4 linked regions of the Callithrix jacchus genome follow. The protein of the gene in region 3 interacts with the protein of the main gene of each other region in a biochemical or structural test. Links are inferred from orthologs where the notes say so. Each region holds a gene or a part of one and is shown on either strand. Other genes may lie near its edges.

Region 1 (4,093 bases), on a different chromosome or scaffold from region 3:
CCAGTGACCTGCTGGCAGGGTTGAAGGAAAAACTCTGACTCTGTTTTCCCTCCAGCAACCCCCCTTGCTAGACATTAAGGCAGATTGTTAAATCCCTGATGTATCAGCATCTAAACTGGATGCAGATTGGGTCAGATAAAAACACTTCTCAGTGCACTTTCTTGTCAACAGTGGGTTCCTATCTTTTCTTCTTTCTTTTGGGGTTGGGTGCTAGGTCCCATGACATTAGCTGGGATTCTAAGACCTTTGTTCAGCTGCTGTGGCCACCTCTGACACACCCTCTGCTCTCAAATACTAGAGCGTGTTCCTGCCTGCCTGAAGATTTTTTTTTTTTTTAAAGATGGAGTCTCACTCTGTTGCCAGGCTGGAGTGAAGTGGCACTATCTTGGCTCACTGCAAACTCCACCTCCCGGGTTCAAGCAATTCTCCGGCCTCGGCCTCTGAGTAGCTGGGATTACAGGTGTGTACCACCACGCCTGGCTAATTTTTGTATTTTTTAGTAGAAACGGGATTTCATCATATTGGACAGCCTGGTCTCGAACTCCTGACTTCGTGATTCACCTGTCTCAGCCTCCCAAAGTGCTGGGATTACAACTATGAGCCACCGCACCCTGAGGATCTTTGGATTTGCCTTCTCTCTGCCTGGAACTCTTCCCTCACATCTCCACATGGCCGCTTCCCAGCTTCAACTCGGCATCACCTCCTCTGGGAGGCCTTCCATCCTTGGTGCCCGGGCAACACTGCTACCCCTTTGGCCTTTTTTTTTTTTTTTAGGACACTATGTTGCCCACTTGCAGTCGTCCGATCACAGTTTACTGCAGCCTCCAACTCCTGGCCTCAAGCAATCCTCCTGCCTCGGCCTCCCGAGTAGCTGGGCTTAGATGCTGGGGTTTTGGGGTGTCAGCCACTGCGCCCAGCCGCTTTGGCCTCCTTTAAGAGCTTCCCTCCGTGCTTTGTTCGCAGTTCTCGTCACCGTCTGTTCAGTGCGCAGGGCTGGGAGGCGGGAAACTGCCCAACGCCCAGATCTCTCGGTCTGTTTCCCCTTAAGTTCGTGAAGCTCTCTGAGAGCAGAGACCCAATCACGAGGCGGAGACTTGGCTTTCCACATTGGGCAGGGGTCGGCAGCATCCTCGATCTGGTCTTGCATACTACAGACCAGACGGGAGGGCACATCGACCCACCTCGGGACCCTCAGGCCTCAACCCACTGTTGCTCCGGCTCCCCCTGCAAGCCCGCTGCGCATGCTTCGCACTTGCAGGCCCTCCCCCCTCTCTGGGGCGGAGCCGCGCCTGCGCAGCTGCCCGGCGCCGGCTTCCGGGTGGTGCGAGCGCGATGGGGCGGCGGGCAGGTGTCGCCTAGTAGCAGCGGCGAGTGGGCGTGTATGCCGAGCGGTCTGGCCCGAGGGCTGGGGGCGGCCGAGGGTCTTCGGGAGGAGGCCAAAGGGCGCGGAGAGAGCCTGGGATCGCCGTCCGCCGCTGCCACCCGGTATGTCGGCGGAGGCCTCGGGCCCGGCGGCGGCCGCGGCCCCGTCCCTAGAAACCCCTAAGCTCTCGGGTCTAGAGCCTGGCTCCGCCGCCTACGGTCTCAAGCCGCTGACCCCGAACAGCAAGTACGTGAAACTGAACGTGGGCGGCTCGCTGCACTACACCACGCTGCGCACCCTCACGGGACAGGACACCATGCTCAAGGCCATGTTCAGCGGCCGTGTGGAGGTGCTGACCGACGCCGGAGGTACGAGCGGCTTCCCCACCGTGCCTCCATCCCCAGACCCCCAACTCGCGTTCCCCACAGTCTCTCACCACCGGGGCTCTTCATGCCCCTTCTCTCTGCTCACTACTGTCCGGTCAACTCATTCTCAGCTCCCTCCAGCGCCCACATCTCATCTCCTCCCCTTTCTCATTCATAATTTCCCTTCTTCCCCAGTCCTTTACCCCCAGCAATAACCAACATTTACGGAACCCCTAATTCTGCCAGGCGCTGTGGTAAGTGATTGAACGTGTCACTTCATAATCCTCATGACAGCTCTCCCACCCTTCACCCCTCAGCTAAAGACTTGGGTACTAGCCCTGCTGCCTGCAATTCTACTCCTGGCAGCCTTCTCAGTTTCTTCCAACTGCCCAGCCTTTTGCTTCCCTCTCTGCCTCAGAACTGCTCAGCCAGCCTAGAGAAGTGGGAGATCTTGTCTGCCTCTGTGTTCCCCGACACAGGTCCCTGTACACTCCAGGAATCCACCTGTAGACACACATTACAAAAGGAGGATGCTTTAGGTTTGCTAGGAACACCAGAGTGGAGGGGTGGACAGGTGTCATTGGCAGGTGAACCTTACCTTCTTGGAGTGTCGCATTCAAGTTTGGAGCCTACATGCCCAAAGTTTTGGAGTTTGGAACTGGGAGATTCTTAAGGGAGGAGTTAACAAGGACTATGAGAATAGGAGGATAAAAATTTGGGAGGCGGACATCTGCCTTCAAGTATCAAAGGTGAAGAATTTGACTGGGCTCGGTGGCTCACACCTGTAATCCCAGCACTTTGGGAGGCCAATGTGGGTGGATCACCTGAGGTCAGGAGTTTGAGACCAGCCTGACCAATATGGTGAAACCCGTCTCTACTAAAAATACAAAAATTAGCCGGATGTGGTGGCAGGCACCTGTAGTCCAAGCTACTGAGGAATCTGAGACAGGAGAATCGCTTGAATCTGGGAGGCAGAGATTGTGGGTGAGCCGAGATTTTGCCACTGCACTCCAGCCTGGGCAACTTAGTGTAATTCCATCAAAAAAAAAAAGTGACGAATTCATTTGTCCAATTAGTGTTTGTAAAATATCAGTTAGTGCTGGAGATACATAGGTAAATGAACGTGACAAAATTATGGCAAGTCCCCTTTTTTAAGGAGGTGGGAGATGAGATCAATAAGCAGGTAAAAATGCATAATATGCAGGTAGTAAGTTCTTTCTTTTTTTCTGATAAGTTCTATGAAGAATATAAAAGTTAAAATGGTAGTGAATTGGAGGGAGGTCGACATTTTAAATAGGATGGTCAGAATTAACATGGGGGTTAGAGGTTTATTGATAAGGTAATTCTGCAAGACCGTTCGTGTTAAGAGCTTCTGACTGTAGATCAGATATGGAAGAATTAATTCTCCGGCTGGATGTGTAACTTATGGGAGAACTCACTAGAGATATTTTAAAGAGATTTTTTGGCTGTGGCACAGATTAGTATTCAGTCTTTTTTGTGACTTTGGAATCCTTTTTTTTTTTTTGAGTCAGTGTTCCCTAATGTTGCCCAGGCTGGAGTGCAACGGCGCCATCTCGGCTCACTGCAACCTCCGCCTCCCAGGCTCAAGCTATTCTCCTGCCTCAGTCTCCCAGATAGTTGGGATTACAGGCATACGCTACCATGCCTGGCTAATTTTGTATTTTTAGTAGAGATGAGGTTTTTCCCTCTTGGTCAGGCTGGTCTCGAACTCCTGACCTCACAGCTTAAAAAAATGTGAGGTGATACACCCTCCTCAGCCTCCCAAAGTGCTGGGATTACAGGCGTCAGTTACCACGCCTAGCTGGAATCCGTTTTTTCTTATAATTTAGGCCAGGTGTGGTGACTCACACGTATAATACAAGTACTTTGGGAGGCTGAGATGGGAGGATCACTTGAGCCTAAGAGTTCGAGACCAGCCTGGGCAACATAATGAGACTCCATCTCTACAAAAAAATTTTTCTTTAATTTAATAGCTCCAGGTCCCCCAGCAAAGCCGTCTTTCCTTCTGCCTTTCCCCACCCTACTAGGTTGGGTGCTGATTGACCGGAGTGGCCGTCACTTTGGTACGATCCTCAACTACCTGCGGGACGGGTCTGTGCCACTGCCAGAGAGTACCAGAGAACTGGGAGAGCTGCTGGGCGAAGCACGCTACTACCTGGTTCAGGGCCTGATTGACGACTGCCAGCTGGCACTGCAGGTGAGGGCCTTCCGAGTCCCGGTGCCTATGTTCCTGAGAGAGCTGCCCAAGCAGGTATTAGGACAGAAGAAAGGAGATATGGGGTATGGCCTAGAGAGCCTGCCTCTGATTGGCCATAACCCCAGAGAATTTGGGATGCTATCTTCT
Region 2 (4,075 bases), on a different chromosome or scaffold from region 3:
AGTGAGATCTTGCCTCTACAAAGCATTGAAAAAAACAAATACATGAATGAACAACATCTTGCCGTCTCAAGGGCCAACAGAATCCTTACAGCCCAGTCTTTTTCTTCTCTTGTAAGGCTACCTCCTTTCTGCAAACCTCTCTCACATTGAACTCCTCTCTTCTTCCCATACCTAAAAGGAATCCTTGTCCCCAGAACAGGCATCCACACTCACCCACAGAGCTTCTTGAAAACCCTGCTGCCAACACAAGACTCTGATGGGCAAAACTGAGCCTGGGTCCACGCACTGCACCCAACACAAGGCATAGGGAACCACCTGTCCCTCTCCCACTTTAAGCAGGCCTGGCTCTCCCCAACACGATCTAGCAGGAATGGGCAGGGCCAATATTGGGGCTGGGATGCAAGTGAAGGAGGTGTATACTCCAAGGGTCAGGGGATTACCTCCAGGCTGAGTGCCATCTGCCGAATGTAGAGCATATTCAGGTCCTCCAGGATGTGCAATCTGTCCTGCATCTCTGTGCCCCCTGGTGCCCTTTCCCTTGTCGACCCCTCCAGAGAGGAGACAGACAGGTGCCACACTGTCCCACAGTTCCTCCTCTCACTGTTCCCTCAGTCTTGAAAGAGGTGGACAGCTCTTAGGCAGAGGGCAGAAGTTGCCCTTATCCCTCTACACTCCTGTTAGACCCCTCTGGCTGCTGTGACAAATTTTCCTTGCCTACTGCTGCTCCAGGGCCCTGCTGGGAGCCAGGCAGGGGAGAAAAGGAAAGCAAAGTGAGGATGAGTGGGGTCCCAGGAGGAAAGGCCAACTGCAGAGGGGGCTCTGGGCACAGAGTGTCCAGTCTTGCTTTGGTGGCAGCTGTTCTCCCAGCTGTGGAAGAAAAAGGCCCTTTCATTCCGACTCTGGCCGCTCCCCAGCCCCCGCCCACATCCCTGGCCTGGTGGACAGAGAATCTGTGTGCAGAGAGGGCAGTGAGGGGCAGGCACAACTGGAAGGGGGCAGGGAAACTACGCCTCATGCAGGTTCTACAGAGTCATGGGGTTTACATGAGGTTGGCGCTTTCTGAGAGGGGTTTGGGCTTAGAGAAAGTTAGGCAAAAGAGCCACAGAGGTGAGGACCTCAGGGGAGAGTGAGCCCAGGGAGTAGAAAAACGGGTGAGTTGGTAACGCAGCCCAGCCCCAGGGCCACCCCTTTCAACTCAGGGCCCCCATCCAGCCCACTCCACCCTGGGCTCACAATTACCTCGCTTTTCCAGAGAAGGGAGGAGAGGGAGGGAGGAAGGCAGGGGTGTGCCTGTCTGCTGCTGTCCCCGCTCCCTTCTGCAGGCCCCTTCCCTTCCAGACAGGAAACCAGCCCCGATTCCCAGCCAGCTGCAGCCTAGCTCCCCCGCCTCCACGCCAGGCCCACGGAGTCACACTCCCCTTGGCAAACGCGGGGCCCTGTGGCTCCGCCCCAGCTCCTCGGCTCTGGCCCCGAAGGCCGGGCTAATCCCGAGGGGCGGCCCCAGTTCACAGGCCCCTCCCCTGGACCCGGGCCTCGCCCCTTACTCCCCCACACTGGCCCCAAGCAGGTTCCTCGAGCCCAGTCGCTTTGGGGAAAGGGGACCCGAAGTAGGCCCTCTCTCCCCCAGGTCCATTAGCTTCTGAGTCAGAGAAGGCCCAGGATACCGGGACAAGGGTGTGAAACAGCCTTTGTTCTGGGCAGGCTGGAGGGAAAGGGCAGAAGCCTGGACTGGAATCCCAGCTGGGAAGGCGAGGGGGCGGGAGGAAGGCCCACCTCACTTAACCCTTTCCATGCCCGGAAGGGAAGGCTTGGAACTGGGCTCTCCTTGGGCAAGTGTGAGTCTGACCTTCGGGACAGAAGAGTCTTTGGGGTAGCTACCCGCCCTCTCAGTCCCAACTCAGCCACACACCTTCACCCCCACCCTAGCCTCTAGGGAGTTACAGGTGGGGCTCCAACGGGGCAACGCGTGGAAGGCGGACGGGGCGGGGCGGGGGACGCTCAGCCTAGGGGCTGGACTCCTCTTAGGCCCCAGGAAAGGAGGCGGAAATTTTTCGTGTTGGAAGTAACCCCAAAGAGTTAAAAGCTCTGCAGGGGCACAGAGGAGCCTTGGAATAGGGCTTCGGAGAAGCGAGCGGCCTCGACCTAGAAGTCGGGATTGATGACAGGCTGGTCAAGGTGGCTGCGACAGGTTGTGGGATGGGGCTGGCGGCAGGGGAACGAGCGGGAGGCCAGGCCAAGAGTCCCAGCGTTTGGGCCCCCCCTAGCTGCCCACCGCCCTTGGCCCGGGAATGCTCAGGACATTTTGGGGTCCAGGCCCATTTTGGGAGTCGAGCTGGGGCTCTCCAAGTTGAGATAACCCGGGGTTTTTCCAGACACAAGCAAATCATCCCAGCCAGGCCGGGGAATGTCTAGGGCAGCACTGATTTGATGAAAGGGCAGACTGTCCACACCTTACTTTTTAAGTCAATAACTCCGTCAGGTTTGTACCCAGACCGTGGCGTCTCCGTCCCTCAGCATGCGCGCGGACGAAGGCAGGAGGCCGAGGCGGCCGGGGCTGCCCCCGGGAGCCGCGGAAGGGGAAGGCAGGGACGCGGGTCTCTCACCTCCGGCGGGTCGCTGAAGAGGCTGAGTCGGAAGCGGCCGCGTTTGAACTCCATCTCCAGGGCGGAGCCCCTGGCCACTGTGACCCGGCTCCGGTGGTTACGAGAGAACATGCTGGCGGCCTTGCGACTTCGCCTGCGTCCTGCGCCTCTCCGCGCCGCCCGGCTTCGCCTCCTCTCCTCCGCTTCAGTCTCTCGACGCCCGCCAGCCAGTCCCGCCGGGGATCTCCCGCTGCAGGGCTCCAAACCCCGCCCCCGGAGACGACACCTGGGCCGCGCAAGGCGCGGCAACCTCCTCTTCCACCGCCGCCAAAAGCCCAGCCCGTACGGCCAGTCTCAGCGCGCCAAGCCGACCTGGCCCGACGGCCCCGGAGGCAGGAGCACCCTGCACCTCGCGAGCACTGCGGGGTCGCATTCTCTGCCCGCACGGGTCGCGAGCGCTCACCTGGGCATGGGGCGGGCCTTGAGAAGCCCCTCCCCGGCAGCCGTACCCACCTGGCAAGCCTGGCTTCCCTGGCGCGGAAATCCCCGTGGCTCAGGGATCGTCGCGTAGTACGTTCCGGCTCTATCTGGGCGCTGGGAACTTGCCCAGTCTAAACCCCGGCAGCCTGCAAACGGACCATTTCAACTTCCCACAGTCCCAAATGTTCCTTCTTCCTCTCCTCTCTGTGGCTATCAGCCCAAGCCTAACGGCCACAACTGATGGGACAGTGCTTAAACACGTCGTGAAAATCCAGCTCTGTCACTAACTAACCGTGCGGTCATTGACATGGTCCAGTCACTGATCTTTCTGTGCTTCAGTTTTCTCATCTGTTCAGTGGGAATACTGTAACTGTCCCCACTCAAGTTGCTATGAGTATTATCTATAAGTATGAGGGTAAAATGCCCAGCATAATGTTTGGCACAAGGCAAGGGCCCCATATTTGGAGCCATAAAGATAAAGAGCAATGGCTGGGCAGAGTGGCTCAAGCCTGTAATCCTGGCACTTTGAGAGGCCAAGATGGGCTGACTGATTGAGCTCAGGGGTTAGAGAACAGCCTGGGCAACACGGTGAAACCCTGTCTCTACAAAACATACATAGGCACACACACACACACACACACACACACACTAGCCTGGTGTGGTGGTGCACACCTGTAGTCCCAGCTACTCAGAAGGCTAAGGTGGGCGCATCACTTGAGCCCAAATGCTCAAGTCTAGCCTGGGCAACATAGTGGGACCCCATCTTTTAAAAAGCATTACAAGCTGGGCACAGTAGTCCCAGCTACTCGGAAGACTGAGGTAGGAGGATCGCTTGAGCCCAGGAGTTCTGGGCTGTAGTATGCTATGTCGATCAGGTGTCCACACTAAGTTTGGCATCAATATGGTGACATCCTGGGAGCGGGGAACCACCAGGTTCCCTAAGGAGGGGTGATCCGGCCCAGGTGCTGATCAGTAGTGGGATCATGCCTGTGAATAGCCACTGCACTTCAACC
Region 3 (3,500 bases):
AGCAGTTTGGGAGGCCGAGGCAGGTGGATCACGAGGTCAAGAGATCGAGACCATCCTGTTCAACAAGGTGAAACCCCGTCTCTAGTAAAAATACAAAAAGTTAGCTGGGAATGGTGGCACGTGACTATAATCTCAGCTACTCAGGAGGCTGAGGCAGGAGAATTGCTTGAACCCAGGAGGCGGAGGTTGCCGTGAGCCAAGATCTCGCCATTGCACTCCAGCCTGGGTAACAAGAGCGAAACTCCATCAAAAAAAAAAAAAAAAAGAAAGCCCCTTGAGGTGGTGGCTCACACCTGTAATCCCAGCACTTTGGGAGGCCGAGATGGGTGGATCACAAAGCCAGGAGTTCAAGATCAGCCTGGCCAAGATGGTGAAACCCCATCTCTAATAAATAAAATAATCAATCAATCACATCTGCTACAAATACTGCAGACCTCACCTCTTCCCCTGGCTATCTTGCCCACATTAGTTTCAAGGCCTCTCACAATAGTTTCAAGGCCTCCCCTTATCACCTCCCTCCTCCACCACCCTGCAGTTAACAAGTGTGTGCACCTAATAACCTGTGGAAACCAGAACTTGGGGCCAGTGGTCCCCATGCTTGTGTTGGTCCCCTGAACCCATGCTGTAAAATTCTACTCTTCTGTCTTTGTCTTTATTTCCTTTTCTCAATCCTTTGTCACCGCCAAGACTAAGGGCACCCATGAATGGGGTCGGGGCTGGTACCCAACAAATTTACCCTTCTATTACAGGAGGTTGAGCATGTACCTGGATGTGAAAAGAGTGCTCTCTCACCTTATGTGTTGCATTATTTCAGCCATTCAGACATTCTTGAATAGTAAAGGCACAGCCAAAGGTCTCTCCTGTCATCTCAGGCCTTGCCTAACACCCAGCGTTGTGTCTTTTCTTTCCTACCAACTCAGAATGCAGATTTGTCTCCATGTTTCCACATTGCAGCAGAAAATTTACTTAGTGTGGTATCTCCCTTTCTTGTCTGTGTACCTGGTGGAATGTTATTTAAAATTTTATATCTTCTCTCCTGTCTGTCTGCTTTCTTACCTAGTACAGTGTTATTTATAATCAAATACTTATAAGCTATGTTATTTTTGACTTGACATTTTGAATTTTGCCACTTGGTTCAGTTCTAGTATCTGGTTGTTGGTTTTTGTTTTTTTTTTCCTAACGGAGACAAGGTCTCACTGCCTAGGCTGGAGTGCAGTGGTATGATCTCTGCTTACTACAAGCTCTGCCTCTCGGGCTCAAGGAATCCTCCCACCTCAGTTTTCCAAGTAGCTGGGACTGCAGGTGTGCACCACCATACTCCGAAATTTTGCTTTTGTTGCTCAGGCTGGAGTGCAATGGTCTTGGCTTGTCTCAACCTCTACCTCCCGGGTTCAAGTGATTTTCCTGGTTCAGCCTCCCGAGTAGCTGGGATTACAGGCATGCGCCATGATGCCTGGCTAGTTTTGTATTTTTTACCAGAGATGAGGTTTCTCCATGCTGGTCAGGCTGGTCTCAAACTCCTGGCCTCAGGTGATCCGTCTGCCTCGGCCTCCCAAAGTGCTGGAATTAAAGGTGTGCACTGCACCCAGCCCACACTCAGCTAATTATTAAGGATTGCTTTGTAGAGATAGGGTCTCAAATTTCCGATTTTGACAAATTTCAACCTAAAATAAATTAAATATACTTTAATTTGAGCTTGATGCTCTTAAAAGTAAATATTCTTGTGTTTTACTGTTTTAGACTGTCATTTGAATGTACTATGGTTAGTGTCACTTAAGTGTGTAGTAGCATTAACCTTGAGCTCTTGTGGTTGTTTTTCCCATTACAGGTAGAGTTGGCTTTGTGGGACACAGCTGGACAGGAAGATTATGATCGCCTGAGACCCCTCTCCTACCCAGACACCGATGTTATTCTGATGTGTTTTTCCATCGACAGTCCTGATAGTTTAGGTGAGTGGTCCTGCGCCCAGTGTTTGTCACTGCAAGATGTATCCACCTAGGCTGGGCGAGGCAGGTGGGTCACCTGAGGTCAGGAGTTGGAGACCTGCCTGGTCAGCATGGCGAAACCCTGTCTCTACAAATACAAAAATTAGCCGGGTGTGGTGACATGCACCTGTAATCCCAGCTACTTGGGAGGGTGAGGCAGGAGAATCCGGGAGGCAGAGGTTGCAGTGATTTGGAATCGAGTCATTGCACTCCAGTCTGGGAGACAAGAAAATCTCTGTCTCAAAAAAGAAAGAAAGAAAATGTATCTAACTTGTTGGGGGATAGTTGCATGTGCCTGTAATCCCAGCTACCCAGGAAGCTGAGGTAGGAGAATTGCTTGAGCTCAGGAGTTTGTGTTTAGCCTGGGACTAGTGACCCCTGGCTCTAAAAAATTAATTAGGTTCAGGTGCTGTAACTCTTGCTTCTAATCCCAGAACTCTGAGAGGCCAAGGTGGGAGGATCACTTGAAGCCAAGAGTTTCAGATCAGCCTCAGCAACCTAGCAAGACTCCTTCTCTATTAAAATTAAAGGTTTTGTTGGAAGGCCGAGGCGGGTGGATCATGAGGTCAAGAGATTGAGACCATCCTGGTCAACATGGTGAAACCCCGTCTCTACTAAAAGTACAAAAAATTAGCTGGGCATGGTGGTGCATGCCTGTAATCCCAGGTACTCAGGAGTCTGAGGCAGGAGAATTGCCTGAACCCAGGAGGCGGAGGTTGTGGTGAGCCGAGATCGTGCCATTGCACTCCAGCCTGGGTAACAAGAGTGAAACTCCGTCTCAAAAAACAAAAATAAAAAATAAAGATTTCGGCCGGGCACAGTGGCTCATGCCTGTAATCCTAGCACTTTGGGAGTCTGAGGCAGATGGATCACCTGAGCTCAGGAGTTCAAGACCAGCCTGGGCAACATGGCGAAACCCTGGCTCTACAAAAATGCAAAAATTAGCTGGGCCTGATGGTGTGTGCACCTGAACTTCAAGCTACTTGGGAGGCTGAGGCCGGAGAATCATTTGAGACTGGGAGTCGGAGGGTGCAGTGAGCTGAGATCATGCCATTGCACTCTTGCCTGGGTGACAGAAGTGAAATTCTGTCTCAAAAGATAAAGATTTTATTTGAAAATAATTAATTTGGTCAGATGCAGTGGCTCACACCTGTAATCCCAGCATTTTGAGAGGCCAAGGCAGTTGGATCACCTGAAGCCAGGGGTTCAAGACCATCCTGGCCAACATGGTGAAACCCCGTCTCTACTAAAAATATAAAGATTAGCTGGACATGGCGGCATGTTCCTATAATCGAGCTACTTGGGAGGCTGAGGCATGAGAATTGCTTGAACTGGGAGGCAGAGGTTGCAATGAGCTGAGATTGCGCCCCTACACTCCAGCCTGGGCTACAGGCCAGGTGTGGCTAAAGGCTCTGTGCGGATGCTCATGCCTGTAATCCCAGCACTTTGGGACGCTGAGGTAGGCAGATCATTTGAGATCAGGAGTTTTGCCTTCACACAGGTTAACTTGGAAGA
Region 4 (3,938 bases), on a different chromosome or scaffold from region 3:
CACGCCCACCAACAATGTAAAAGTGTTCCTATTTCTCCACATCCTCTCCAGCATCTGTTGTCTCCAGATTTTTTAATGATCGTCATTCTAACTGGTGTGAGACAGTATCTCAATGTGGTTTTGATTTGCATTTCTCTAACGACCGGTGATGATGAGCATTTTTTCATATGTTTATTGGCCTCATAAATGTCTTCTTTTGAAAACTGTCTGTTCATATTCTTTGCCCACTTTTGAATAGTTTTTTTTTTTTCCTTGTAAATCTGCTTTAGTTCTTTGTAGATTCTGGATAATAGCCCTTTGTCTGATGGGTAGACTGCAAAAATTTTTTCCCATTCTGTTGGTTGCTGGTTCACTCTAATGATTGTTTCTTTTGCTGTCCAGAAGCTGTTAAGTTTAATTAGATCTCATTTGTCTATTTTGGCTTTTGTTGCTATTGCTTTTGGTGTTTTAGTCATGAAGTCCTTGGGGAGGGATAACATTGGGAGAAATGGCTGATGTAGGTGACGGGGAGCGGGGGGGGGAGGGGGAGGAGACAGCAAGCCACCATGGCATGTGTGTACCTATGCAACAATCCTACAAGATCTGCACATGTACCCCAGGACTTAAAGTACAAAAAAAAAAAAAAAAAAAGGCATTGCCTCCTCTTGCCCTTCCTTTTTCTCGTGTCCTCTCTAAAGTGTGTCAAGTCTCTCATACCCATGGCAGATGGCAGCTCAGGTGTCTATACAGGGGGTTGGCATTTGAAAATTTGGGACCTGGAGGGTGTGAGACTTGGCATATTTAAGGACTGAAATCAGAATGTCTGTGTGTTCGTATGCATCGTTGGAGGACATATTTCGGCTTCAGCACAGGGCCTTTCAGACTATTCAGGGCTCGTATTCTCTTGGGGCAAAGACGGCAGCTTTGACAGGGCCACCTTCAGGTGCTCGCACCGAGTAACTCCCTTGTGCCGCCAAGTCTTGTGTGAGTTGCCATGGGAGTGCGAGGCTGTGCCATCTCCTCCCACCGCATGCTAGCCTAGGCTGGCCTTTCATCCCTTGAAAATAGGCATCTCTGCAGAAATTCCCCCTTTTGGATGCTTGCGTCCCTCCTCGGAGTCCCCTCGCCTCCTTTCATCCTCTGCTGGCTAAGCGGGGGCGTGGGTGCGCGCACCCAGGAAGAGTAGCCCTCGCAGCGGCGGTGGCCAGAGCGCTCCGCAGGAGCCCCAAACTCATAACAAGTTCTCGGACTGCTCGCGCGGAGCTCTCAGGCCTCTACGCCTCTATACCTACTTGGAGGGGTCCAGAGGGCGGGAGGCCGCGACGCGGTTGGGCTGAGCGGGGCCAGGGGCTGCACCCCTCCGGCAGTGCCTGAGCGCGCAGCGGCGGCGCGCGGATCGGAGCTGGGCAGCTACTGGCTGGGGTAGCGGCCCTGCCTGGGACTCCAGCGTGAAGATGGCAGCAGCAGAGCCCCGGCCCCACCTGGGTTCGCCACGGCGGGCGGCCAGGCACATGCCCCAAGCTGCCGCTTCGGCGCCGTGTACCCCCTTGTCCTGGATCCCGGGCCTGCCCCAGAACCCAGGTGGTTGCACTTCCATGCCGACAACTCAGGCGATTCCTCTGCAGGTGGATATGGCCATGGCCCTGCAGCGCGTGAGGATTGCCGAGAAGTACGGGAAGAACTACCTCTGCCTCCTTCAAGCAGTCTTCGTGGCAGGTAAGTCCCCTTCTCGCATCTCCTCCCCAGTGGCCTGGGGCTCCAACCTAGCTCGCTCACCCTTCTCCTCACCCACTGCCTCCCCAGACGAGCACACTAGTTTCCAGTCCACACTCCCCACGCGCGCGCACACACTTTCCTACTGCAGTGGCGCTCCCAGCTGCGAACTCGCTGGGTCATCCGTTCTCTTTTCCTCTGGCCAGCTGCCGCTCTGCAGGCGTGCAGCTCTGGTCCGCTTGGGCACCGCAGGAGGACCGTGGGAAACTGCAGGAAGCGGTATGAGAATGTCTCTGCCATTGCTGGTTCAGGTCTCTTATCCTCTTCTCATCCACTTCAGTGAGAACCCAACCTCTCTAAGGAGTGCACTTCCCTTGTAATATTCCCGGAAGTTGAAAAATCAATTTTTGTTTGTTTGTTTTTGTTTTCCCCATAACGCATGTGGAGGAAATCAAGTCAAAAAGGCACTCTGGTTCTGGAACCAGCAGCAGAGCCGAAGCAGGGCAGGTGGAGGAGGAGTTGTAGGGAAACAACTGCTGCCACTAACTTGGGCTTTTCACCCAGACAAGCGCATCTTTCTTTTCATCTTGGTCCACGAGCTTCTTGCTTCCCTACAAAGGCTCTTGTACAAACGAAAACAAAGTCAGGTAACTCACAAAGTCTTTACTGCCACTGCCATGGTTTGATTAAGGGGAGTGAATGGTGTAACATGGACTTGATTACTTGCCAGTCATGCTACACTCACATTTAACAAGCTAAAGTTGCCCAGACTTGGGGTTGATGTAACAGGGAGGGTGCTGCAGGCTGTGGGGCTGCGTTCCCATGGGGCCATTCTGACTGGGGCACTGGGGCAGCCTCGGAACAGAGTGCAACTCTGGGACCTGAAGTTCAGCCAGTGCTTTTCAGACAAGTCTACAAGGTGCTGCAATTGATATGCGTGCCTTCCTGTTCTCCCAAGGTAGTTTTGACTTACTAGGTTCTAAGCCTTGCAGTGGAAGTTTTGGTATTCAAAAAATAGACTTGGTGGCAATTTCCTGCAAATCAGATAGCCACAACACATGTTCCAAATATGCCTCCCTATTTAGTGCTATCCACAAATCTAAAGGAGGCCATGCAAACATCTTCAGTTAGGCCAGTGGAATTAATTCAAAGCTGTGGTCTATGCATCTTCATAACACAGAACTCTTTGGTCTTGCTTGTTTTCTTTTGAGCTGGTTAGTATTATTTTCTATATGTAATAAATCATTAAGGGGAGTGTGGTGATAAGGCACAGACTCCTTCAGCTCTTAAGAGCAATTTAAATAGTTTTTGGAGACTACAAAAAAAAATCTCGTTGAAACATTCTGTGCAGCACAGTGGAAAGTACTTTGTGTCTTGTTCTCATTTACCTTTGCATCGTCCTGGGAGCTAAAAAAAAAAAGTCTCCTTTGGAGAAATGCATGCTTAATCACAAGGGATAAATTAGTTATGCTATGAAATGTACGTTGACATTTCTACTGCTAGTGATTGCTCTTCTTTCTAGAGTTGTGTAATGTTTCATCTGTCCATACTGTTGAAGGCTCCTACATGTTGACAGGCCCCCATTCCTGTGGCATCACAATGCATCATAACACCTAAATGACACCAATTGCTGTGCTGTGTTTTTTACCTGGGCTTGCAGTACTTTTGTACCTGTTAAGCATTTGCCCTGGAAGGAATCTGTAGCCATGCGATTAGAGTACACACTACAGTACAAAAATTTTAAATGTAAAATGGATTTCATATAGTTGGAAGCTATTTATATAATAAAATACATTTACAAAGCTTTTCACTGTGGTTAATAACTTCCGGAACAATCATGTCAACAATGACCATTTATGGATTGCTCAGGCCCAGAAACTATGCTACAGTGTAATAAACTAATTACATGTATGTGTGTAGAATCTGCCCTGGGGCAGCCAGAAGAGGAAATGATTGGCTTCACTTAGGGAGTTAGGGGAAGACTTGGAGAGAGTGATGCATGAGTTGAATTTTGAGAGATGCATACAAATGTCCGGGTAGACAGAGGATGGGGATTGAATGCGGTAGGGATAGGTGGGGTGAATGGTATTCCAGGCAAGGAAATAAGATGTGCAAAGACAAGCAGAAAGAGAAGAGCAGAGTAGGTTTGGGAAATTGTAAATACCTTTTAAATGATTGAAGTGTAATATGGGGGGTAAAGGGCAGAGAGAAATTTGGAGAGGTAGGCAGGGGCTTCATCAGGCAGT

What was found. The genes of interacting proteins can lie anywhere in the genome.
Region 1: of the proteins of RHOA (region 3) and KCTD13, one has a biochemical effect on the other in vitro, tested with the Homo sapiens proteins (2 studies listed by BioGRID, with this or other methods). The link is inferred for Callithrix jacchus from reciprocal best matches to the Homo sapiens genes RHOA and KCTD13.
Region 2: the proteins of RHOA (region 3) and RTKN form a complex in vitro, tested with the Homo sapiens proteins (8 studies listed by BioGRID). The link is inferred for Callithrix jacchus from reciprocal best matches to the Homo sapiens genes RHOA and RTKN.
Region 4: the proteins of RHOA (region 3) and MCF2 form a complex in vitro, tested with the Homo sapiens proteins (2 studies listed by BioGRID). The link is inferred for Callithrix jacchus from reciprocal best matches to the Homo sapiens genes RHOA and MCF2.

The regions. Positions count from the first base shown.
Region 1 is NC_133513.1:29,592,989-29,597,081, forward strand, and holds the start of KCTD13 (BTB/POZ domain-containing adapter for CUL3-mediated RhoA degradation protein 1), read left to right. Parts: upstream 1-1,293; 5' UTR 1,294-1,487; coding exon 1,488-1,731; intron 1,732-3,776; coding exon 3,777-3,946; intron 3,947-4,093. UniProt on the Homo sapiens protein: Substrate-specific adapter of a BCR (BTB-CUL3-RBX1) E3 ubiquitin-protein ligase complex required for synaptic transmission.
Region 2 is NC_133515.1:38,758,049-38,762,123, reverse strand, and holds the start of RTKN (rhotekin), read right to left. Parts: upstream 2,801-4,075; 5' UTR 2,715-2,800; coding exon 2,604-2,714; intron 1,341-2,603; exon of another isoform or gene 1,240-1,340; intron 868-1,239; exon of another isoform or gene 513-867; coding exon of another isoform or gene 441-512; intron 1-440. UniProt on the Homo sapiens protein: Mediates Rho signaling to activate NF-kappa-B and may confer increased resistance to apoptosis to cells in gastric tumorigenesis. May play a novel role in the organization of septin structures.
Region 3 is NC_133516.1:31,971,357-31,974,856, reverse strand, and holds part of RHOA (transforming protein RhoA), read left to right. Parts: intron 1-1,828; coding exon 1,829-1,949; intron 1,950-3,500. UniProt on the Homo sapiens protein: Small GTPase which cycles between an active GTP-bound and an inactive GDP-bound state.
Region 4 is NC_133524.1:136,459,841-136,463,778, reverse strand, and holds the start of MCF2 (proto-oncogene DBL), read left to right. Parts: upstream 1-1,138; 5' UTR 1,139-1,433; coding exon 1,434-1,695; intron 1,696-3,938. UniProt on the Homo sapiens protein: Guanine nucleotide exchange factor (GEF) that modulates the Rho family of GTPases. Promotes the conversion of some member of the Rho family GTPase from the GDP-bound to the GTP-bound form. Isoform 1 exhibits no activity toward RHOA, RAC1 or CDC42.